5 linked regions of the Nothobranchius furzeri genome follow. The protein of the gene in region 4 purifies or fractionates together with the protein of the main gene of each other region. This does not show direct contact. Links are inferred from orthologs where the notes say so. Each region holds a gene or a part of one and is shown on either strand. Other genes may lie near its edges. The genes, in order: rnf11b, mtor, tnfrsf1a, tnfaip3 and tnip2.

What was found.
Region 1: the proteins of tnfaip3 (region 4) and rnf11b purify together in Homo sapiens (affinity purification with western blotting; 3 studies listed by BioGRID and IntAct, with this or other methods). This does not show direct contact. The link is inferred for Nothobranchius furzeri from reciprocal best matches to the Homo sapiens genes TNFAIP3 and RNF11.
Region 2: the proteins of tnfaip3 (region 4) and mtor purify together in Homo sapiens (affinity purification with western blotting, with the first as the bait; 3 studies listed by BioGRID). This does not show direct contact. The link is inferred for Nothobranchius furzeri from reciprocal best matches to the Homo sapiens genes TNFAIP3 and MTOR.
Region 3: the proteins of tnfaip3 (region 4) and tnfrsf1a purify together in Homo sapiens (affinity purification with western blotting; 7 studies listed by BioGRID, with this or other methods). This does not show direct contact. The link is inferred for Nothobranchius furzeri from reciprocal best matches to the Homo sapiens genes TNFAIP3 and TNFRSF1A.
Region 5: the proteins of tnfaip3 (region 4) and tnip2 purify together in Homo sapiens (affinity purification with western blotting; 5 studies listed by BioGRID and IntAct, with this or other methods). This does not show direct contact. The link is inferred for Nothobranchius furzeri from reciprocal best matches to the Homo sapiens genes TNFAIP3 and TNIP2.

The regions. Positions count from the first base shown.
Region 1 is NC_091748.1:56,841,868-56,847,232, forward strand, and holds the start of rnf11b (RING finger protein 11b), read right to left. Parts: upstream 3,325-5,365; 5' UTR 2,694-3,324; coding exon 2,571-2,693; intron 1-2,570. Other genes in the region: ttc39a (tetratricopeptide repeat protein 39A), read right to left, coding at 5,104-5,218, 5,332-5,365. UniProt on the Homo sapiens protein: Essential component of a ubiquitin-editing protein complex, comprising also TNFAIP3, ITCH and TAX1BP1, that ensures the transient nature of inflammatory signaling pathways. Promotes the association of TNFAIP3 to RIPK1 after TNF stimulation.
Region 2 is NC_091755.1:52,420,946-52,425,520, forward strand, and holds part of mtor (serine/threonine-protein kinase mTOR), read right to left. Parts: intron 3,613-4,575; coding exon 3,530-3,612; intron 3,441-3,529; coding exon 3,368-3,440; intron 3,291-3,367; coding exon 3,216-3,290; intron 3,053-3,215; coding exon 2,917-3,052; intron 1,752-2,916; coding exon 1,686-1,751; intron 1,596-1,685; coding exon 1,515-1,595; intron 1,427-1,514; coding exon 1,346-1,426; intron 51-1,345; coding exon 1-50. UniProt on the Homo sapiens protein: Serine/threonine protein kinase which is a central regulator of cellular metabolism, growth and survival in response to hormones, growth factors, nutrients, energy and stress signals.
Region 3 is NC_091745.1:73,837,901-73,842,475, reverse strand, and holds part of tnfrsf1a (tumor necrosis factor receptor superfamily member 1A), read right to left. Parts: intron 4,575-4,575; 5' UTR 4,553-4,574; coding exon 4,511-4,552; intron 4,426-4,510; coding exon 4,323-4,425; intron 4,241-4,322; coding exon 4,115-4,240; intron 4,025-4,114; coding exon 3,869-4,024; intron 3,797-3,868; coding exon 3,718-3,796; intron 3,119-3,717; coding exon 3,054-3,118; intron 588-3,053; coding exon 412-587; intron 325-411; coding exon 204-324; intron 123-203; coding exon 1-122.
Region 4 is NC_091752.1:25,124,789-25,128,408, forward strand, and holds the end of tnfaip3 (tumor necrosis factor alpha-induced protein 3), read right to left. Parts: intron 3,582-3,620; coding exon 3,440-3,581; intron 3,301-3,439; coding exon 3,130-3,300; intron 3,018-3,129; coding exon 2,837-3,017; intron 2,733-2,836; coding exon 1,741-2,732; intron 1,627-1,740; coding exon 1,427-1,626; intron 1,295-1,426; coding exon 1,019-1,294; 3' UTR 880-1,018; downstream 1-879. UniProt on the Homo sapiens protein: Ubiquitin-editing enzyme that contains both ubiquitin ligase and deubiquitinase activities.
Region 5 is NC_091744.1:17,107,826-17,112,842, forward strand, and holds tnip2 (TNFAIP3-interacting protein 2), read right to left. Parts: upstream 3,090-5,017; 5' UTR 2,887-3,089; coding exon 2,563-2,886; intron 2,445-2,562; coding exon 2,151-2,444; intron 2,025-2,150; coding exon 1,935-2,024; intron 1,798-1,934; coding exon 1,552-1,797; intron 1,468-1,551; coding exon 1,351-1,467; intron 1,247-1,350; coding exon 977-1,246; 3' UTR 237-976; downstream 1-236. UniProt on the Homo sapiens protein: Inhibits NF-kappa-B activation by blocking the interaction of RIPK1 with its downstream effector NEMO/IKBKG.

The sequences.
Region 1 (5,365 bases), on a different chromosome or scaffold from region 4:
CAGCACAAGACTTGAACACAGTAGAGTTTCTCAACACAACAGAAAGCTCTATTCAAAACGCTTTCGTAAACGGTTACACCATCTCCTCTCAGACACCACAGCTGAATGAGCTAATTATCTTCACCTTTGTAAGACGATAAAATGTGACATTAAGAACCTCTGATGCATTGTTCTGAGAGTCAAAAAGTGATAAAAGCTTATTATATGAAGTTCAGAAAATTTGCTGGTAAAAAAAAAATCTCCCAAATAAACGTGAAGTGGTCATTCCAGCGCTATGGCATGCTACATTTCTATTCAAAATAGCAAAATAAAAATGCCCCAGAGCAAGACCGTGAGAAAGATAAAAGATGATAAGAGAATGATCAATGTCAATCACTCTGTGAAATTCTGGCAGTAAACAATGGCAGTTTCTCAATATTCAAGTATGCTGGTATGTTCTTGTGTACTTGACAAGTATATTCTTGGCAAGCACACCTGAAAATCTGTTCTACTGAGTACGGGAGGATGAGGATGGCATTTGGAACAGAACCGTACTCCGTTGTGTCATGACAAAAACAACCGGACATAAAAATGGAAGTCTAGTTTCTCTCTAAAACACAAAATAACAATAAATACATTATATTTGTATAACACTTGGTCCACTTTTGATCAAAAACATAAAATACCTACTTTCCCAATTGTTAAATGAAGAAAAAAAGTTTCTTTTTCATCTAAACAGAGCTATTTTGGGCAACGCTACTTTTATTTTAATAGTTGGTCACCTAATTTGCATTTTAAGACATTATGAAGAGTCTGGAAAATAAAAAAATTCACACTGCGAGTTTTACAGGTTACACACAATTATTTACAATAACAGACAACTCTATATTTTTTTCTTTATTTGTATTTCTGATACACTACAGTTATAAGCTTTCTCCTCTGTTGTTTGTGTGTAATGGTTTGCAACGCAATGCATTAAGCAATACTTTGTTGTCCCAAGTCCGCAGAAGGAAGCTTTGATGCATCCTCGATACAATGGGCAGAGCAAGAACACATCCGGGAACTCTTGTGTACTTGCATACAGGAGTTCTTAGGATTGGAATTGTACTTGGGCCATCACTGATGACGTTTCACAAGGATGGGAGTACACAAGTTCAGACGAGTATGCAAAACAAGAAACGGCAGTGCAGTATAGCATATTTTGCTGTCTCAAGTCCGCAGAAAGATGCATTAATGTATCCTTGATACAATAGACGGAGGAAGAACACATCTGGGAACTTTGAGTAAACTTACCAAGATATGTATTTACTTACAACATAGGCTCATTCAAACATAACATAATAATGCTGTGAACATGTATAGATACTTTATCATACATTCTCACCAGCCTGTTACTCAAAATGCACCAAACTGATGCTTTTCACTATAAAATGTCCAATGTTTTCTACCGGGGGCATGCCCATGGACCCCCCTAGAGTAGTTTAATACTAGTCTAAGGATGACTTGCAATGATGACAAATCAAATCAGCATTTATTGTTCATAAAGGTCAAATGTATCAGTGATAGTGTACACAGTGAGAAGATGCAGTTTGCATATTATTTAATCAGTGTATCAGGATGCGCACACACACAAGATGGCTCACTTATTTGGATATCATTACATTTTTGTGATCCATTTATTATTATTCTCTATAGTTTAATGTAACATAAAAGTTTGTCCTTTTCTTTTAATAACTACTGCAAACCAATCCCTTAAATTAATAGAATTTGTTTATTTTGAATGAAAACAACAGGATTGTGTCACTTTTCTCCATGAAAGCATTTGTTGTTCTGACACTGCATTTATTCTCTTGAGCTTTAACAATTCCAATCTTAAAGCCTACAGATAAGACCTCACTTGACCTAGAAACAAGCATTCTAAACCAGTGTCCTAAAATAACACACACACACAATACTTTACAGCAAATCTAATATTTACAGTTACGACATGACCTGGTCTATGTTTGGATGATCTAATTTAGGGAGTAAGGACAACAGACAAGAACAAAGTTGCTGCCTGAAGGTGTTCAGTCAGAGAAGCAGGAGAGAAGTCAGCCTTTTCTTAAAATACACACACGCTACAGCCTGTTTCAAGACTGAGAATTAAAGCTTGTGTTGTCATTTTCAGCTCATAACAGATGTTTGCTTCTTTTTCCTTCACATCATCAACCCAAACCACAGGGTTTAGTGAGTTTGAATGAATTCACTCTCCAGGTGATATTTAAGACACCAGTGCTGCAGAAATTACAGTGAAGATATTATGCACAGAGAATGACCTTAAGATGTAAGAAAGAGGATTATTTACAGTATCATGAAAGGACTGAGTCAGTGGGTAGGGTTACTGTCTACGGACGATGTCAGATAATCTGTATACAGCTGATTCCGGTTCTCAAAATGTTCGTCCAACATTTATTTTCTGACTTTGTCATCAGGCAGACAATGCAAACAAATTGTAAAGAGGACCAAAATGTCTAAACAACACACAGTGTGTGAAGTTTAGTTTTAATGAATCAAACCACAACAGCTAGTTTAGTTATGATGTCAATAGATACCTGATAGGGGGGCGGTGGCTCCTGATCTGGGTCAGCACCGTCTCCATAGCTGGCTCGGTCCGACTGCGATTCGTGTAGCAGAGAAATATCATCCGAGGTCGGAGATTTTAAACAGTTTCCCATCTCCCTCCTCTTCTATCAAACTCTACCTTCTAACCGCGTCGCTCTACCAGCAGCGGATTTCACTGCTCACTTCCACAGAAAATGTCAGTAAATAAGAAGACGTCGAGAGGACGTTTTTCCATTCACAGCTGATGAAGCTCCTCTCCCAGACGACGGGAGGGCTGGCTACTTCAACAAAAACAAAACATCACTAAGACCAGCAGCTAGCCACACAAAAAGCTAGCCTGCTAACACTAGCTAGCACTCTGAGGGGAACATCTAAACGTCTGGGCGCAGAATCGCGGCTTTAACATAATTTTATATCAGCAGAAGGAAGAAAGCGAGCAAAATAACTGCTTTCTTCATTTAACGTGACACAGCTTTCCACGGTTCTCCAGCCTGAGTCCGATCTAGCTGCCAGGGACTTTCCAAAGCAGCTGCTGAACAATGACAAAAGCTGGGTGACGTACAACGTGGGGGACGGCTCCTTTAAACAACTGACCAATCAGCTTTCAGTTTCGTTCACGAAGTTCTTGTTGACAGCCAATCAGATGGTTGGTCACGTTGCCTTACATTGAAAACGTAAACACACAACGTTAATCTGCAAATGAGTCATGTTCCTACCAAAAGAACGATTTCTTTGCAGATCGGAATTGTCCTCTGAGTTTTATATGATAAAACCATTCATCAGTTGTGTTATTGAAGCTCTCGGTTTAATGAGATGTGTTCCATGGCGGCCTCTGGTCTGCAAAGCCATTTTTTCATTTGTTAAATTAGAATCCAAAACCAAATTAATGCAAACAACCTGTGTCATTTTTGTTCTGTGTGCTGAAAAATTATTGAACTTAAATGACGTGGAAAGGAAAGAATACAACACAAAAGTATATATTTCATTATAAATCACAACTAAAATGTAAATGGAAGTCATCCTGCTTGGTGGGTAACCATGCCCAATACACAATACAGAACGTGTAAACACAAAATTTTGAATGCTGAATTTCTTCCATTTATACAAGTGTAAAAGCTAAAAGGATGGGGAAAATTATGATTAGTTTGCAGAATCAACACATTCTAGAGTCGCTGCAGTTGCAACAATTCTAATAATACATTTCCTCCACCAATAAATATTAGACACTGACTTCAGACAATTAAACTGTACCCCAGACCTCTCTCAGTTATAAATAAATCAGCAGGACTTGTATCCCAACTCTTGAGGCACCATGTGAGTTCTCTGAACTGTCAGGTTTCAGGTGCTCAGCCTTTTCAATCACCCACTCGCCAATCGTTTATGAGGAAAGCTGTATTTGTTCATCTGCAGATAACTATTTGACACAGGATGTGGTTTTACATTCAAGTCCTTCTGTTGGTAGCTCTAGCAACAGGATAGCAGGTAGAGAAACAGCAAAAGAAGTCGACTGAAGTCTACACAAGCTGTGAAAACTTGATGGCTGCTGGGGGTTAAGAGTTTCTTCACCCACTAAAGATACAGCCGGCAGTCAAGCTCGCAGTCCTACGCCGCTTGCTGTGAATGGCCTGTTTGTTCAAGCTCAAGTATTGCTGGAGCCCGTCCCACACACCAGGAGGAGAAAAGGAGGGAGTCTGCCTTTTCTAAAAGACACATTCATCTGTCCTCTCAAAACAGGACAATTCATGTAAAAGATGCCATTTACAGTAAATAAATGTAAAGACCAACTCTCCCAGGCCGTTTGACATCCAAGAGTTGACAGTTTCATGGGCGATACACAAAGCTCGGTGCAAAAACCAAAACATAAGCTGTGAATACAGGGTTATATTCAGTAAGATGCTCCCTCGATTCTGACAAACACAACAATCATGTAGTGTAAACACATGATCCCACATTCTGAATTAAAACAGAACAAGCTGGTTTTGGAAAGTGAGACATTTCCAAAACCTACATTAACATTACAGTGGAACAGGTTTATACCCGGTACTTAAATAGTGCTGCTGTTCGTGTGTCATGTATCTGAGGCTTTATTTAACTCCACCAGGTTCAGGTCTAGTACCCAGCACTGAGCATATCACTTGGGACAAAGCACTGAATATGTCACAAAAATTTAACCTTGTTTCTGCTCAAATGCAACCAGTGTGAAAGAGACAAAAGGCATGCTGGAAGCAGTGTTTCATAAACACATGAACACACATTTCTCCACTCAATTTGTTAAAAAAAATATGTGTGAGAAAGTGACTAACTGTAATGTGTCTCTGGAAGAGGGCGTGGCAAAGTGAACAAGGCCAGCAAAGGCACACAAAGCTGCAGAGGTCCATAACAAGGGCACAACTGAGGAAAAAACACTCCATCTTCATCTAGAATTTAAAAAAGTTCTTAGTTCTAAAGAGTAGAGCTGGTCTGGCATGTTGCATTGTGGGTAAGCAGAGACAGGAAGCTGTCACTTTACTGGTGTGACTTCTGTTATGGGCTAGAGGGCACGAGGATGCCATTCTCCCCGGTTCCCTTGGCCTTGTGCAAAGCAGCCTGAATACGGAAGTGCGTCCGTGATTCCATGGAGTAGTTTTTATAGTTGTGTCTGAAAATCAGAGAGGATTTAGCTGTTGAATCCATTAAAGCAGTAATCAGGTCTTTCACTGAAAAAGTAAATGTGATTTTTACAAATGTATGTTTTGAGAGTTGAATGCTTACTTTGCTGCTTCTAGTAGTTTAATAGCTTCATCTT
Region 2 (4,575 bases), on a different chromosome or scaffold from region 4:
CTCCACTTGTGTTGGCACATCCAGCGTCTCTTCGTGAGAAAAGTCTCGACCTGGAAACATTTTCAGGAAGCTTTAGAAGACTTGGAGCTTTAAATAGTTTTTTAAAGGTTCCATTCACTCGTATTTTCCATAAACCTGCTCTGATCTCTAGTATGAATGACTGAGTAGTTTTCTGTGGCGCTTGTTTCAGGAAGTTGATGTTAGCAAAAAGAGCGGGGTGGAGATCGACAGGAGTATGCACCGTGCTCATTAATGTTCATGATACGCAAATGTCTCACCTCTGATTGGCTAAGCAACAAGACTCTTCCACTGCCTCCGTTCGAAGTCCTTTTTTATGTAAAAAAATGCATCATTGATGTTTTGTCTCCACACACAACACAATCCTGAACGTGTTCCACTATGTTGTGGAGTTGCTAATGGTAAGAGTTAGCTTCTTGGGCGACGGTGGCACAGGAGTTAAGCGCTCGCCTCATAATCGGAAGGTTGCAGGTTCAAGCCCCACTCAGTCTGTTGCTGTCGTCGTGTCCTTGGGCAAGACACTTAACCCACCTTGCCTGCTGGTGGTGGTCGGAGGGGCCGGTGGCGCCAGTGCTCGGCAGCCTCGCCTCTGTCAGTGCGCCCCAGGGCAGCTGTGGCTACATTGTAGCTCATCCCCACCAGTGTATGAATGTGTGTGTGAATGTGTGTGTGAATGGGTGAATGACTGATTGTGTTGTAAAGCGCCTTGGGGGGTTCCAGGACTCTAGAAGGCGCTATATCAAATACACGCCATTTACCATTCTACAAGCTGAGATGTGCTCTGCTCTCGTTTCCACGGCTAGTCACAATCCAAGGTGGGCGGGGCCATGAATACTAACCAACCAAACCAGCCGATTTCCCACCTAATTCCTTTCTGCGGCTAACACAGGCGATGGGGGATGAAGGAAGTTTTCACCATGCATGTGCAACCCAGAGTCACCGATCTTATTTAAAAAAAATAACAGTTTCTCAGTAGACCAGACCTTTAATCAACACCATCAAATTCAAAGTTTCTCACTTTTTTATTTCAAATTAATTAGAAACTCATAAATTTCTTCAAAGGCAAATTTACAGATTTTCAGTTCAGACATTTGAGACATTTTGAGTAAAATAAGAAGAAGAAGAAGAAAATATCATTTCTATAGCGCCTCTCAGGATAAAAATCACGAGCGCTTAGGAGACATTTTATGCATATTTATTTAATTTGCCATCATCTTGACCCTAAAACACTAGGACATTTCCTGGTTTCCTTATGAGTATTGTACATTTGGAAGGAAAACTGAATTCTGTTACTTCAGTTTATCAAGTGGCGTCTTTCATCACTCACCTGTAAGTTTGTCCCGAACTCTGTTGATGATCTGAATAGCTTTTTTGTTGAGCGCTTCAGGCTGCACCAGACCATCTCCAACTTTAAAACAGGAACATGCCAGAGTAAACACCAAAGGAGCTGCAGATCAGATCAGACTCAAGAGCTTCAGAAGCAAAAGGAAACTGACTGAAGGAGTGGATGGATTCAGGCACGGTGGTCCCTGCTTTCTTGTGCGTGGTCTCTCCGAGGTCAATCCCATCCAGAGCCTCTGCAGTCGACACGACACGTTCAAATGTTTCAACTTGTTTTTGTGCTAAAATCAGGAAGTGGTTATGAATGCAGTTGGTGGTGTACTGACCCACTGACTGCCCGGCGGTGTACGAGTCTGTTCTGGTACGGGATCGCTTGTTGCCTTTAGTGTTTGCTGTGAGTGAAGGAAAGAGAAAAAAGTTGGTTTTCTTTTGATTATTATTGCCTAATTTTGAAAATCTTGAAACATCCAACTGGAAGTAGCTCTTTAAAAGTAAACTGAATGTTAAGTCTTTTCAAAAAACTTACCTTAAAGCAAAAAATAAATATATAAAAAAATTGTCCTTCAGGTGGCATTTTCCTGCCGTTTCTGTCACTTATCCAAGGTTAGGGTTAGGAGCAGCTCTTTCTGGATGAAGGACCTTCTCACCTCATGCCCAACGGGCATCTATGCTCGCTTTAAAGCCCTAGTGTCTGAAAATACTTGACTCTTTAGCACCGAGAAGCTTAAAATAGTTATTGCAGTTATGCTAGCCCACACGCATCAAAAAGGCTATATGTCATCGACGGCTTCCAGCTTTCAATTCTGCGATTAACTTTTGCATTTTATTTAAATTTGAATTAAGTAAGTGTTGAGTAATATAAAGCTGAGAGGCAGGTGTGTCAAATGCAGTCAGCGCGGGGCAGAGAACCCGTAGAGATAACCGGTGCCATCCCGATATGTTGCATGTCCCCAAACAGATACCAGATGGTGCATGACAATGGAGCATCAACCACAGTTTATGTAAATAACACGGTTACATTTGAAGCCAATAGGAGTACTTAGAATAGACGTTGGTGAAAAATGTTGATGAAAAATTTGTGAACGGATAAACAGAATTTGATAGTAAACAAGTAAAAATATTCCACACTGGGGCTTTAAGTGAAAAAAATGAGTCAAAGAGTTTCAAATGTTGTCTCCATCACAGCCCACGCGTGTGCTTTCAGATCATGTATCTTCTAGAGGGCCATTCAATTTCAGACTAAGCGATGCCGCATGCACCTCTGATCCACTTGAACTTTTCCATGATCCATGTTCAAGATTCTCTCAAATATACTTTTTATATTTTTTTGTTCCTGCACCCAAGGGAGATGACATCATAGATGTTTTTATAATTCTGTATCGATTCAAACAGCTGCTCTTTTGCATTTTTCTGTAGCTGGTCACACAAGGTCTACGATGCACCGCTGCATCAGCGGCTTTGAGACTTTTCCTCTTTAAGTCTGTAACTTCAGATCGACCCAAAGAAAAGAATCTAAATTATGTCTGAGTGTAAAATGAAGCTCAACCAGGTGCTTACTGTCCATGAGCCTCCAGTTGAGCAGGGGGTCGTAAACAAAAGCCTCCAGAACAGCCATGACGCTGTCCCTGTGCTCCCTCAGCACCTCCATCACTGTGTGGCAGGTGATCCTGTAGTTCCCGTCCAAACCTGTCACCTGAGACACAACAGACACAAAATCAGCCGCTTCAAACTCACCAGAGTCGTTGTTTGAAGCCTAAAAAGCTCCTGTTGTCTTGAGAGATGACTCAAGTTCTCTCCAAAGCTGAAACACCCACTTTATATATAAAAGAACAGCATCATTAACACGAGTCTTGTACCTCCATCGCGTTGGTCAGCATCCTGGTAAGTCTGAATGGGATCTTTTCAGGGAACTTCTCCCTGGTCATGGCCACCTGTTTAATGTTGATTTATAATAAGTTACATTATTTACATCATTTTGTAATGAAGCAGCAAAAGGAAATCTTCTCACTTCAAAACAGTCTCCAAAGTCAATGTGAAGAATTTTGCCGCTTAAACGGTCCAACATCAAGTTGGATGGATGCCTGGGAACAAAACAAAAAAATCCTCAATTATGCTAGAAAATCGATTTTAAAGATAAAGGAAGTCTGAATTTTAGGGGCGAGGACCCCACCTGTCACCCAGGCCCAGAATGTAGCCCACCATAGACATCACAGCCAGGGAGCGGGTGTAGTTAGTCCTCCTGTCGAACCACACCTGCAGGAGAAAAGACGTCCAGTCAATAAACGAGTATCTGAATAAAAACTGGAGCTGCTTTCTGTTGCTTTTCCAGGATCTGGTTTGGGGACCTCAGGACCAGGGCTGAGGGACGTGCACTTCAGAATCTTAACTTCCCTTTTCTAAAAGCTCAACACTGGCAAATTCAGCTAAAATACATGGAGATATAAGTTGTAGTCCATATCACTCAGCCCTAGCTTAAAGACAAGGCCAGTTGCTCCATAATCAGCAGCAAAGGGTTCCAGGTGCTGCTTTTCCGTGTTTCCACTCAAGGAGGCCCGGGAAGTTTCTTGGAGGGAAGAAGATGATGAAAAATACGATGGCTCTGTCCTCTCAGCCGTTGTGTCTCCTTACTGAATCGTCCCTTTCAGGACTTTGCTAAAACATCAGCATATCACCACGTTTTGGCCGTGAGTGATGTCACTCATCAGTGCTTAAAGGAGTCCACGGACATTAATGACAATAAAAGTTTTATTTTGCTGCAATCAAATCACTTCAGGGTCCGAGGACAGCAGCTGTTTGATGTAAAATGTTGCGTTCAATGACCAGAAGAGTCAGTTTTTTACGGTGCTCTCTGACCATAAAGGAGCATAAATCACAGCGGTGTGGAGGGAATTCAGCCAAATTTTTGGGCACTGGGCGTTTTAAAAATGGTCATTTAAAAGCAGCGCAAAGGCTACTTGTTTTGTTTTTCTTCCGTAGTGCTTCAGCAGCAAATCTTGCACTTTTACAATTTTCAGTTGTTTTGCAACATCTGCTGACATCATTTCCCATTGAATTACAACCAATCAGCCCGAGTTAAGCCCAAGTCCTGCCTCAACCAGGCCATTTGTCAGGACATACCCTGTTCAGGTCCATGAAAACTGTCCTTTTGGGTTGGTCCAGTAAAATGGAGACTGTGGAGGTCCAGTAAAATTACCCGTAAGCTCCAATAGTTGAAAC
Region 3 (4,575 bases), on a different chromosome or scaffold from region 4:
ACAAGACCTGTGGTCCATCTCGGCTCGTTCGATCTCCGTGTCCTTCACACCGAGACATCGCACCAGCTGCTTCACCTGCAGAACGGGAACCAGATCTAGCACTGCGTAGATCAGCTCTGGGACTGCAGAAGAGGAGAGCACGGTCAGAGTTCACATTGTGGGTTTCTGCATGTCGAAGTCAGAGCAGACTGCTATCAACTCACTCTTAATCTCTAGGGGGACGCAGTCAGGCAGCTTGGACAGCTCCAGCTCACCCACTGGGTTTTGAGCGGCTGCTTTCAAACAGATGCTCTGCGGAGGTCCCTCAGCGTAGATCAGGAGATGCTTGGAGACGAGAGTAGAAAACACATGACTGACCGCAAGCGTTCATCAGACCGATCAAGAGAACCTCAGACTGTTGGGTGAAGATACCTTTCCGGATTCCACGGAAACTTCAGAAGTCTGGGAGGACAGAGTCGGCATCTTCTTCTTGGTGAACCGTTTTGTAGCCAAGAAGGTGACCAGAACCACCAACGCCAGCAAGACTAGCACCACAACTACTGATCCAGCAACTAGATTTATTAGCAGGTGATTTTTGGGCTCAGGGCCTGGATGGAAAAACAAAATAAATGCATATTATAAAACAGAACATTACAAACACACTGCAAAAGTTTTAAAGCACCAATAACCAAACCTGAATGTGATCCTTTAAAATGTTCTTGGCCAGTCTTCAGGCTTTCTAAACGTTGAATCGTGTTTTGTTCCTGACCGTGACGGTTTATTTTGTGGTCTATGCTTATAACATAAGGGAATTGCACGAGCGGAGGGCAAAAGAAGAAGTGTCAGGTCTAAAGAATAAATCTATCGGAGGGAAAAAGAATAAAAAAATCCAGCAAAGTTCCAAAAACAGGACCTGAAAATTCATAATCCTCAAGCAGATTTTCAGGTTTTCAGCCAATATCTCTTAGAAAACTAGCTTGACAATGCTAAGATATTATTTTATGTGTCGCCTCAGGTTTTTGCCATGCACTCAGCTAAAGAATTGGAAACATGTTCCCTCATTTTCACAAGACTAAAGTAACAAAGAGCTTAAACGTACAATTTAAAACAGGATCTGTGCCGAGCTGATTTGTGTTGACACAACGATGAATCATCATCAGGTTCAGGAGACTGTCTCAGTGATTCATAGGTTAGTGTTAAGTGTTTTGCTCTCTTGAATGTCTCATTCACCCATTATTGCAATAAGTGTGCAGTGGACCTTAGTATAAATAAACGCCTTGTCAATCATTCTCTGTGGAACAAAAGCTCTGGCGCAACTGTTTCAGGAAGTAGAGAGGGGCAGAAAACGGCAGGATTTGGAGCCTTCCTCATTAATATTCACAATATTCAGACGTCTCGCCTCTGATTGGCTAACAGCAAAGAGAGTCTTTCACTGCCTCCATTTGCTCTGATGTTTTACAAATAAACAAGCCTGAAGGAGTTTTGCCATGCTGGGGAAAAGCTAATGCTATCAGTTAGCTTCTACTAGTTGAGATGTGCTCTGCTTTTTCATGGCTGCAAAAAAAAAAATAATCTGCCTTCCGCGTCACGAGCCAAGATGGGTGAGCCGATTAATGCAACTACAGAGATCCGTCCAATCCATTATTTATAAAATTAAAAACACTAAAATTCTGTGATCTGGTGGACTACAATATTTGAAAATGTATGTATAATGCAAACACAGGGTACACACCTGCAGGTTTAATCAACAGATTTACAAAAAGACATAGCAAATATCATTTAAAAGGACATGAATTATTTAATATACCTAGACATAGGATACTCATAAAGGAACATTGTGTGCCCATATATGGAGTTAAATGTGGAATAAATTAAATACTGAAATCAAGAATGCAAAAACAATATTGACTTTCAAAAAAGAGATAAAAAAATGAAATTATTAACTTATATAGACCTGTTACATAAACGCGTGAGGGGAGGGGGGTTGGGGGGGGGGGATGAAAGAAAAAAAATAAATAGAGGGAAAAGGAAACAAGTGTATGTATGCATATGTGTATATATGTATGTATATAGGTATATAACTTTATGCTTCTTTCTGTGTAACTTGTTTTCTCTTTTTTTTTTTCAATTCATGGGTTGAGGTTGTGTCGGCCAACCAGTCCAGAAACGATATTGTTCAAATTTTTTAAGAATCATATGATAGTTTCATTTGTATTAATGTTATTTTAGTTTAAAGTGGCAGGTAACATATGTTTTTCTTCTTTCTGTCCCCTTTTTCATTTTGGCTGTTAGCAATTTAGTTTTGTATTTTTCTTTTATTGTCAATAAATGAAAATAAAGTTGAAAAATAAAAATTATTGGGTGATAGATCTGTGTGGCTTTTTCTGACCCGATGCAAGGCATCAATGCTAACCAGTGCACCACCGTGTAGCCGTTTTCAACTTGTAAAAAATGAAATATAATCAGTCACTGTGAGTTTACCGTGCACGCTGATAGGCTCCTACACCTATCTCCTGCATTAGCTTCTGATGGTGAATTGCTAGAATTTGAAAATCCTGACTGATCTATGTCACACTGTCACTTGACATTCATGGACTCACCCATCTTGACTCGTGACGGAAAGGGTTTTGTGGTTTTAACATCCAGGAAACAGTAGAGAATGTCTCAACTAGCAGAAGCTAACCTTTAGCATTAGCAACTCCACCACCCAGCAGAACTCCTTGAGGCTTGTGTTATTTGTGGAGATAAAACATCAGCGTTGCAGAACAGAGTCAGTGGTAGAGTCCCATTACGGTTATCCAATCAGAGGGGAGATGTCTGAATATCAGGAAATAAGACTCCAAATCCTGCCGTGTTCTGCTCACCTCCGCTCTGGCTAACTTCCAGTTCTGAAACAGGAGCGCTAGAGCTTTTTTTTTTCCCCACAGATTTCGACGCACAAGGCATTCATTTATTCTAGAGACCACTGCAAATGTGGTTCAAAACCGAGTGAACTTGGTCTTGAAAGAATAATGGAAAACTCAAACGGTGAACACGGAAATATGGCAAGAGAAGAAACAAGTGCGTCATGTCACCTGGTTGGCGCTCACCTTCTGTCGCCACTTCCAACATGCAGTGTTGTGAGCAGCCTGTGGTACAACTGTGGAGGATAAACAGGATGTTTCATTGCACCAAGGAGGAAGTAGCATGTCTTCAGAGGAAGTGATTAACGCAAAGGCTGACATGTATTTTTTTTAACTCCAGCTTTCTGTAGCTCTGGTTTCAAAGTTCGACTACACAGAAAGTTGAGCTGAACCAGTCACTGTCCCAGTAACTCAGAAAGATTCTTATGTTTATGCAAACCAGGATGTAAACATGACAGAAATATAGGAAGTTTGAGCTGCAAGTTTTTGTGCTTCCTTGTTTGATTTGTGTCAAACATCTTCGACTATAAGAACCAAAAATAAAAACACTCAACGCAGCATTTTAGGAGAAGATAAGAGAGGTCATTATACGCTAACAGACTTTTAGTAGACGCGAATAAGAAAGGTTTTTTTTAGCGAGTCTCAAGACGTGTGTGTCATAACTTCTCTCCTGTATTGCTAACAAATGGAAAGCTTGAACAAAGTCGGAAGTGAGCTGCAAGTTTCATTTCTACAAACCAACTTCCTTAATTAAAATGTTACAAAAAAACCTTCCCAAACTCGAAGATGGAAACAAAACGAGAACCAAGGACTCGTCGGACAGCGATGCACTCACTTCCTGCAAGGTTCACACTTGTTTCTGACTCTGTAGAAGTTTTCCTTACAGCCACACACGGTGTCTCTCTCTCGAGTACCTGTGAAAACAAAACTGGCTTTACCACGGAGTGGTTGTTTAATTTATTACAGAAGAATCTTTAAAGACTCACATGCATGCTCCTCCGTTTCATCTGGTTTGCATCTCGAACACTTGAGGCACTCAACCGTTTCACTGTCAATGTGGTTTTTGTAATAGCCGACCTTACAGCCACAGATGGTGTTTTGAGCTGCTCTACAAGGTGAAACCTCAACTTCATTTCGTGCTGCTGCAGAAAAGTTGACAAAATTAAAGCTTTTACAGCTAATCTGATGCTGTGCAAGCTGAGAAATGAAGTCTGGAGAAGTTAAAGTCACACCTCTGCAGGTTTTGCACTTTCTGCACTGGAAAGCGTTGTTTATCTGGTCGGAGAACTGCCGAGCAGGACAGGGTGTGCAATTACTTCTGTGACCTTCACTGTGACACTCTGCAACCAGCTTAAACCCTGAAAACAAAATGATCCCACAGAAGTAAACGCAAAGTCAGAATTCACATTCTTTACAGGTCCCGTCACGTGTAAAGGTTACCTGCAGGACATTTGTTGCAGCATATTCCATCTTTGTTTTCGTAGTCACCGACTGGACACTTGGGTGTAACTAAGTTGAGCGTAGCGGCAAAGATGAATGTGAACTGAAAGTAACGATAAACAATGAGCAGGAAAATGAAGGCAGGGTTTCCCACTAACATGCATTTGCGTCTTAAAAATTTTTTTCACCTCAAAGAGCAGGAGGAGGATCCTCAGCCTTCCTGCCATCATTTTGGACTTCAATTCAATCCATC
Region 4 (3,620 bases):
AGAAGAGGGGAAATTAAAGGAAGAGGAGGAGTGATGGCAAGAGTCCTGTCCTCACTGTGTTCTCTGCCTTCTGACGCCAGCATGTTGGCTACAAAGGAGAGGCTCGAGTTTCTGTACATGTAGCACCAAAACTAGCAGGGTCCCGCCCTGTCGGTCTCTGTTTGGTCACATGTTTTGCTTTGAATTCCCACATGTAGCTATTTCATTTAACTTAAAGAGAAATAATCAGCTTAAGAAAAACACACAAAAACCACTAAGAACCAAGGGAAGGGAAGAATTACAGTTTGAGAGTCTCAATATCTAGAGGACCAAAAAATATTGAAAAAAAAAAAAAGACTTTTTGAACAGCTGAGCTAAACAATATGGTTTCAAATCTAACTTCAAACATTTGACTTGCTTTGCTTTGGCTCAGTTCGCCTCACTTTTGCCGACTACTTCCACAGATTTTCTGCCCGGGCTTGCCACACTCACTGCATCCCTCGCTCGATCGAGCGAATGCTAGACAGACAGGCAGACTGATACACAGATGGGTTAGGACATACAGACGGACGGGGTAAAAATCCTTGGCTGTGGTCTATAAAGCAATGTCGTATGCTTCTTGTTACGCCAATATACAATCATTTTGTCCGGCACGATTCCTGACGTACCTCTAAATACGTACTGTACACAAGAGTTAGGTCAGTTGCTCTGACATGTCGCCAAACCTCTAACCGTGTAAGAGCACACGGCGGATCGGATGATAATAATTGCACAAAGAGGTATTCTGGAGGCCATGTCTAATGCAAACACACACACACACACACACTCACCAGCCCCCCCATGTACACACACACTCTCGCTTCACATTCGACATGGGGGAGGTTGATTTTTCAGGCCATAAGGTTACTAGTTAGTCACTAGCTAATTAGTTGGTTAGTTAGTATCAGAGGTGCATTGACTGGCATGGGGAGCCCGCTGCAGGGCGGCGGCTCTAGCGTGCTACCAATGAGTTGTCGTTAACGCTCCGCGTCGCGGGTGATCAGCCACGGTAAATCTGTTTGAAGTGGTGGCACTCGTTGCAGTAGCCCTGTTTCTCTTGGTTGGCATAGTGGTCACAGCCCTGTGTCCGACACCTCTGCTTTGACTTTTCTTTGGGCGCCTGCGCCCGTCTGCCGGCCTCTCGGCCCTGGCCACGCGTGTGGCACTCCGGGCAGAGGTCAGTGCAACCCGGGGACACGTTACTGCAGCCACTCCGTCGACACTGAGTCTGGGTCTGGGATTGCTGTGAAGATCTGGGTTTAGCTGCCCGGTCGCGCTTTTTATAGAGAAAGAGGGAGAGAAAATGGGGAAAAAAAGGACTAGTCAGCAACTGAGAATTAGATATGGGGTACTGTGAGAAAACTACTGAACAGGAAAAAAGACATCAGCTGTTTGAGCAAGAACCTACCAGCGGAGGGGAGTGTGGCGTCCTGTGTGCCACTTGGTTAAGACGTGTACTCTGCTCTTTGACGTAGCACTTATCACAGTAGCCCTCCAGCATTGCTTTGCCAACTGCACCGCATCCAGACCCTCGACAGCGTGTAGCGTTCTGGAAACCTGCCTCCAAACCAAGTCTGTTCTGGACCGGAGCAGGAGGAGGAGTCAAGTCTGGAATAAACAGCCACAAGCATAAGCAACAAGCCAGATAATTCATCAACATTTATAGTTTGATAAGGTATTTATTTTTAAATGTCTACATGTTCATTTTGTTTCAGGACTTACGATGATTGGTCTGATAGTCTACATAGCAAATAGTGCAGAAACCCAATTTCTCTGGTGTCCCAAAGAACTGGCAGCCAGATCTTTTACAAGGCCGGGCCAGAGGGGTCTGCCAGGCCGACGTGGGTCCCGGGGTCAGGGTGAGGCACGGCTGCTCAGCGTCTCTGGTTTGGCTCCAGGCAGAAGCCTCAGTCCTGGGGTTGCTCTGCTGTGGCTCACCCCTTTCTGGAGCCTGCTGCCTCTGCATGCAGGGTGGGCACAGACCATTGAATATCCTGAATGCTTCCTGTCTGCACATGCTGCACCGCTCCGTCTCTGTCTCGCGGCCTCCCCACTGGGTCCAGCCGGAGCCTTGGGGTGGGTGGGGAACGACTGGTGCTCCGTTGGTGCCTGGGAGTCCTGTAGCAGCTGTTCCAGCTCCAGGGGGTCCGTGGTTCTGTCTGGCGTTGAAGCAGCGCTCACAAAGTCCGTCGTGCTCCACACTTAGGGTGAAGAGGCAGCCGGGTGTTTTGCACTTCATGGCGTGAGTTTCACTATAAAGGCTGAGGCTGGGAGCGGTGGGCGGGGCAGAGCGGGGGCTGGATAACACCACCCCTCGTCCAGAGGAGGAGCATGGGGGACTGCTGTTTCGAGCTCCTCTGGAGCTCACCTCAGCCTCTGACCCCCCCATTGCCCCTACTCCTCCCTGTACACCTGCTCCCTTCGTCTGCACCACCCCTTCTATCCTCGCTCGTCCTCCGGTGGTGGCTTGTCGTTTCTCGAAGCACTCATGGCAATGAGGCTGAGTGTCCACAGAGACGTAGAAGGTGCATCGTGGCGTGGCACACCGGATCTCTATGAGGGACAGTTGGGAGACGGAGAAGGGTGGTGGGCGCTGCGGCTGGGCGGCCCACGCCTGCTCCTTGTCCTCCTGCCAGCGCTGATACTCGTGGTTGACGAGCTGCAGGTAGTCCTCCATCAGGTTCATGTCCTCTGGAAGGTTTCCCTCGTCCAGCCTTTGGACAGTCACAATGTTCTGTTAGCCCTTTGATCCTCAGACACATTACTGGCCAACAAGTAAGAAACTTTCTCAACAATCAAGTTTATAATCTCTGCATACCGAGCAGCTTTCATGATCCACGTAGTGTCATGGCCCAGGCCTATAACAGGGATCTCTATGATGTGCAGGTAGTCGTTGAGAAGCCTCTCTTTCTGCGGCTGCTCCTTCTCCATCAGGAAGTGAACCTTCAGCTCCTCGAAGCCCACTCGTTTCGGGTTGATTAGTGGAACTGCTCGAATCTCTGGACGATCAGTTCAAACCGAGATGTTAGACAAAAAATAAAATAAAATAAATAAAAGAATACAAACATACTAGATCTTTATCCCATGCTGGTTTCCCTTTCGGTGCCCTACCTGGACCGCTGTCTTTGATGGTGATAAGGGGTGCAAAGTGCTGAGAGTCGTAGCCGAGCACTAGTGGATATTTGTAGCAGTCTGTGGACTTCCACTGAAGAGGCAGGTAAATCCCACCCACATTCAGAGGAGAGATGGAGGAGCCAGATTTCATGCTCCTAACCACCTGGTCTGTTGAACAACAAAACAAAACACTAAAGTTTACAACTAAACAGCCCTTTACATCAACAAAGAGACTTCTACGCCTTCGTAGAGCAGAAATCATTACAAGTCTAGCAAGAGGAAATAAAAGAACTTTGAAAGTGATTACCTGCAATGACGATGATGGGTCTGCGGAGAATGTTGGACAGGATGAAGATGTGAATGTCCTCTAGGGAGTCAAACTGGAGGCCGTTGCTACTGGAGACTGGAGATGCCATCTTTACAATCTTATCCCATTCCTCCTCCCAGTTCTAGGACAGCACGCACACGCACACGCACACACACACACA
Region 5 (5,017 bases), on a different chromosome or scaffold from region 4:
ACAACAGCTGGGAATCTAGCTGTCACAGTGCAGCGTGCCTAATCAGGCAACACTGGGATGGGGCTTTCCACCGAGCAAACACACACACACACACACACGTGACATGCTTAAAACACATGCACACAAACTTAGATGAAGTAGCACCAACGTTTTTGTGGTCGGATCACGATCTGTGGTTGAAGCTACGTGCTGCAGATTTATCTCTCAGATGAAAAATGCACCACACAATCAAAAGCTACATTTCAATAGATCATATTTATAGGAAACAACATGTTTTATTACAAAAATAACATCTACAGGAAAAAAACTAAGTCTTTAAAAATGATTTTATGTCAGTTTGGATGCATTATTTACATATACTGCTTTAAAAATGATTGAAATATTTATTTCTGCCTGTCATGTATTTAAAAATACATGTTTACACAACATTTATGGCTTAAGTTGGATATAAAAACAAGACATTGCACTGAAACAATCACTCTTTTCCAATGAGAAATACAAATAAATATTAATATAGTTAGACTTTTTAAATCTGTCATTAAAAGAATATATTTACTTAAAGAAACACTAACAATAGCACCACATAAACAATTAGGTATAAACCCAAAGTAAGAAGCTTATGCATCAATAATATTTTAATCGCATTATGATAACACAATGGTTTTTTTTTGGGCTAAATAACAAAAAAGTGCAAAAAGATTGTAATTTGACATTGAGGTATATAACATTTTAAAAACTGCATTGGCATCTTCTCTCCCCAACACAGTAATCTCCTGCAGTGCCATGGGACAACTCTGTCTGGGTGTTTGTACAGATCTAAAACCATGAACTCATTTTCTCTTGCAAAATGGAAAGTTTGGGGTTATGTTCACATCTCAAGATGTCAGTTATTTAATCTGAACCTCCACCCAGGTTGCTTCCTGCATTGTAGTGCTGCTTTACAGTGTTCAGTAGAGAATCAAAAACTGGTTTTCGTTTATAGCCGGGCGCACTCTTCAAAATGGTTCATGCACTCTGCAGCTTCTGTGTCGTTGAACCTGGCGGAGCAGTGCGGACACTGTAGTTCCGACAGACCTGGGAGTTCGTTCCAATTTGTTACGTTTGCAGCAGCAGCGTCCACTGCAGGCGGCGGCGGCCTTTCAGCAGCAGCCCTTAGCAGAGGCTCTGAGGAGTCCTTACTTCGCCTCGAGGAGATCCTGTGTCCTATGTGAACACGGCACACAGAACCCAGGTCTCTGCCTGCTCCCTGCAGAGATTTACAAACACCTTGTCAAGCCACGTGGCTGTAATAAGTAAAAAAATGAGTGGATGCTTGTACAGAAGCATCTAAATGACGATCTGACACCTCACCTGTTTGTGGATCTGCTGCTTCAGCTGAGAAATCTGCTCCTTCAGGTCTGCGATCTGACCCTGTGCACGCGCTCTGTCGGCTCGCTCTGATTTAAAGTCGTCTGTATAAATCAAAACCTTACGGGGAAAACAAAACAACTTTGAAAATTCACAAAACGATTACGATCACTTTAAATGTGCTAATATTACATTAATACCAACCTGCTGCTCCAAGGTCTGGATTCGCTCTTGGCCTTGCCTCCTTATCTCCTCCACCTCTCTCTCCAACCTTGAACAGTCTCTTATTTTCTCCTCCAGTAAAGTGTTGAGCCTGGCGATCTCCTGATGAAGCAACACTGAGCTGACGGAGCCCTGCCCGGTGTTCTCCTTCAGCCTCTGACACAACCCTCGGATGTAGTCCTCCCTGCTTGAGTCATACTTCTGCCACTGAGAATTCAAACTCTGTACCTAAACAATGGAAATAAATAAGAAGCAAAGCTCAGCATTAGAAATTGTGTGTGCAGCTGATAACAGATTTGGTTGGAAGTAAAATTTTGCACTGAAATATAGGGGGAAATCTGTTGAAATCAAAAATACAAACGCACATAAGCTACGCGCTGCTTCAGCTGTTGGTTCTCCTCTTGAAGCTGATGAATTTGGGATTTGGCAGCACTTAGGTCAGAAGAGCTGGGCGTCTGGAATAAAAAGTCAAAAAGGGGTTAATAAATAACTCAAAAAGAGCAAAGAAGGCATTGATTTTTTATATTGTTTATATATATATATATTGAGCAAAAATATTATAAAATAAGATGAAATTGTACTTTTTGCTGCTGGGACACTTCCTCCACTTCTTCTCCGTCTCCTCCCTTCTTCTCCAGCCTGCCCAGCAGCTCCTGGCACACCCTCACTGTGGCGCTGAGCTGACCCCGCAGCTGGTCAGCTTCTTCGGCCAGCGACGTGCAGAGCACGGTCCTGGTGGCTTCGGCCCGCTGCTTCTCCTCCAGGGCTGTCCTCAGCCTGTGGATCTCCTGGTCCTTGTCGTGGTCCGGCTGACACCTGATGCTCTCCAGCTCCAGATCTTTCTCTCTGAGCTGCAGGTTCAACCTCTGGATCTCCTAGTTTGGGGGACACAAAGAAGAAAGTATGAGAAACCAACTTTTTTCCTGAAAATGACAGAAATAAATCATGCTTTTTACATATTTGAAGCTTCCTTTGGAGCTGCTGGTTTTTTACCTCTGCTTGACAGGATGCCTTGAGCTCCAGATCATCTTTCTTCTGTTTTATTTTGCACAGCTCCTTCAGTAAACTCTCCACCAAAGACTTGGAGGGACCGAGGAACACCCGCTCGTCGTCTCCCATCGTCATGCAGATCCTCTCATGCCTCCCGACCCTGGACTTTAAATCTGCGATTATATTGTCCTTTACGCAGATCTGTTTGTTGAGAAGCTCGATTTCCTGCCTCGTCTCGTGAAACAAAGTGTTTAACACGCTGTAGCTCCGCATTTTGTCCTTCGGCTGCGCCTCGTTCTCCGCCTTCAAACTACTCGAGCTATCCATCGCAATCGCAATGCTTAAAATTTGTAGATTTCGCGAAAAACGGTTTCAGTCTTTTAATAATCCAGCATTTGACGCCTCTGCCTCTTACTCTGAGTCTTTCAGAAACACACCGAGAAGGTGAATTCTGGAGGAGATCTGGCGCATCAGTGTCGAGAATATCCCCGGACGCTCTTGGGGGATTTCCTAGGGAACTTCCCCGCGGACTTTTCTGAGCGTCGTCAAAACGGAGCCTGGCTTTCAAAGACTCACTGCCGAGATCCGTTGGTAAAAAAAAGTGGAGGCTTGTCAGGCTGTTGGCACAAATTCACTGGCTGTTTGTACAAAAACACAAAACGATTCCCCTTTCTTGCTGTCTTCAGCTAGCTAGCGTCGGCTAGTTAGGCAACCAGAAAATTGATATCACTGCTGCATTCACTGCCGTCGTAAATTCGAGAACATTCAGCACAAACCAAACGAGTTCACCTGATAGAACAATCCCCACTCTACACATTTCGAATATTATTCACGTGAGTCACAAAAAATGCTAATCTAAGTTACATTTTTTGTGAACCCAGTATTTGGGTGGTGGCTTTCACCTGAAAGTATATGGCAACACAAATAGATGCTAACAAGTACAGTTTCCCAGTTACCAAACATCCCGTCCCTACCAATCACATCAGATGATTCAGTATATGAATTCCCCTCACAGTCCATTATTTTGTCCATGTGAATTTCCCCCACTGCATTTGATACTTTTTAGCTCATTATTATTATTATTATTATTATTATTATTATTATTATTATTATTATTATTATTATTATTATTATTATCTGAGTAATTCCATTTAGGCTAAACCAGAAAATTGATACATGAGTTTTGTATGGTCTTTTTTTTAATGGTCGTATGGTTCATTACTGCTTTCTTACAGCACTAAACCTGTTCCACTAATAAACCAACCTCATCATCACATGGAATCCAAGCATAACTGCACTACCAACACATGACCAATCTTTGCAACGTGTTATCAGTGAGATTACTTTCATATGACCTCATGTTTCTGATGCACTGACATTATTTGAATAATGAAAGATCAGTAAACATGCTCTTTTTTTGTTAGGCATTTCTTATGATAGCGAGTTTGATCTAATCTTTACAGGAAACGCAATGTAAATTTCTGTGGCCAAAAAAAATCTACCCCATTTCAGATTTATTCTGCTTTCACTTTTATTTTCACACCTAAATTTTTAAATATCAGACAAACTTGAGTAAATACAAAATGCAGCTTCAAATGAATAGTTTTTTTTTATTAAAGCTATCCAAACCAACTTGGTTCTGATCATGAAAAAAAATGTATTAACTACTTTATTTGGAAAGCTGAGTTCATATTCACTAGCTGCACCCAGGCCTGATTTCTGTTAGATCACAGTACCAACAGTCAAGCATGGTAGAGGTAGCATGATGGTCTGGGACTGCTTTGCTTCTTCAAGACCTAGATGACTTGCTGTAATTGTGGAAACCATGAATTCTGCTCTCTACTAGAAAATCCTAAAGGAGAAAATCTGACCTGTGACCCTACAAAAGGAGCTAATGATGGGAAAACTCCAAAGGTCCATTACATTTTCACATAAACAAGGTTGGTTAGAATAGGTTTTGGTTCTCTTTAAACACATTTTTAAAAAATAGCTTTTTGTATTTATGCGGGTCATCTTTGCTACTGAAATTTACTTGCTGGTCTAAAGCAAGGGTTAGGGTAACCCAACCCCTAACCCTCAGCAAAAATGTAAAATCCTTACTTCAGTCATGATGTAATCATAGTTTACATTATGTGGAATTGGTAGAAACACTGTGTTTTCCACTTTGAACTTCCTGAAAATAAAATGACGATAAGCAGGAAGCACTAGTCAATTAACTGGAAAAGAGTGACCTTCATCTGACCTTATGCTTTCCAAATTGTTAACATATTTACCTTGCAGTTGGTTACGTTTGGAATCAAAAAACAAGAACAGTGTTAGAAATAGAAGCAACATGTTCAGATGTAGACATTTAAAAATCCTTATATTGCAGCAACAAGGAACATGAAATGTTGCCCCGTTACACCCTTAAAGATTTTGTGAAACCAAACAAATATAAAAAAAACTTTCTAACAGCAAT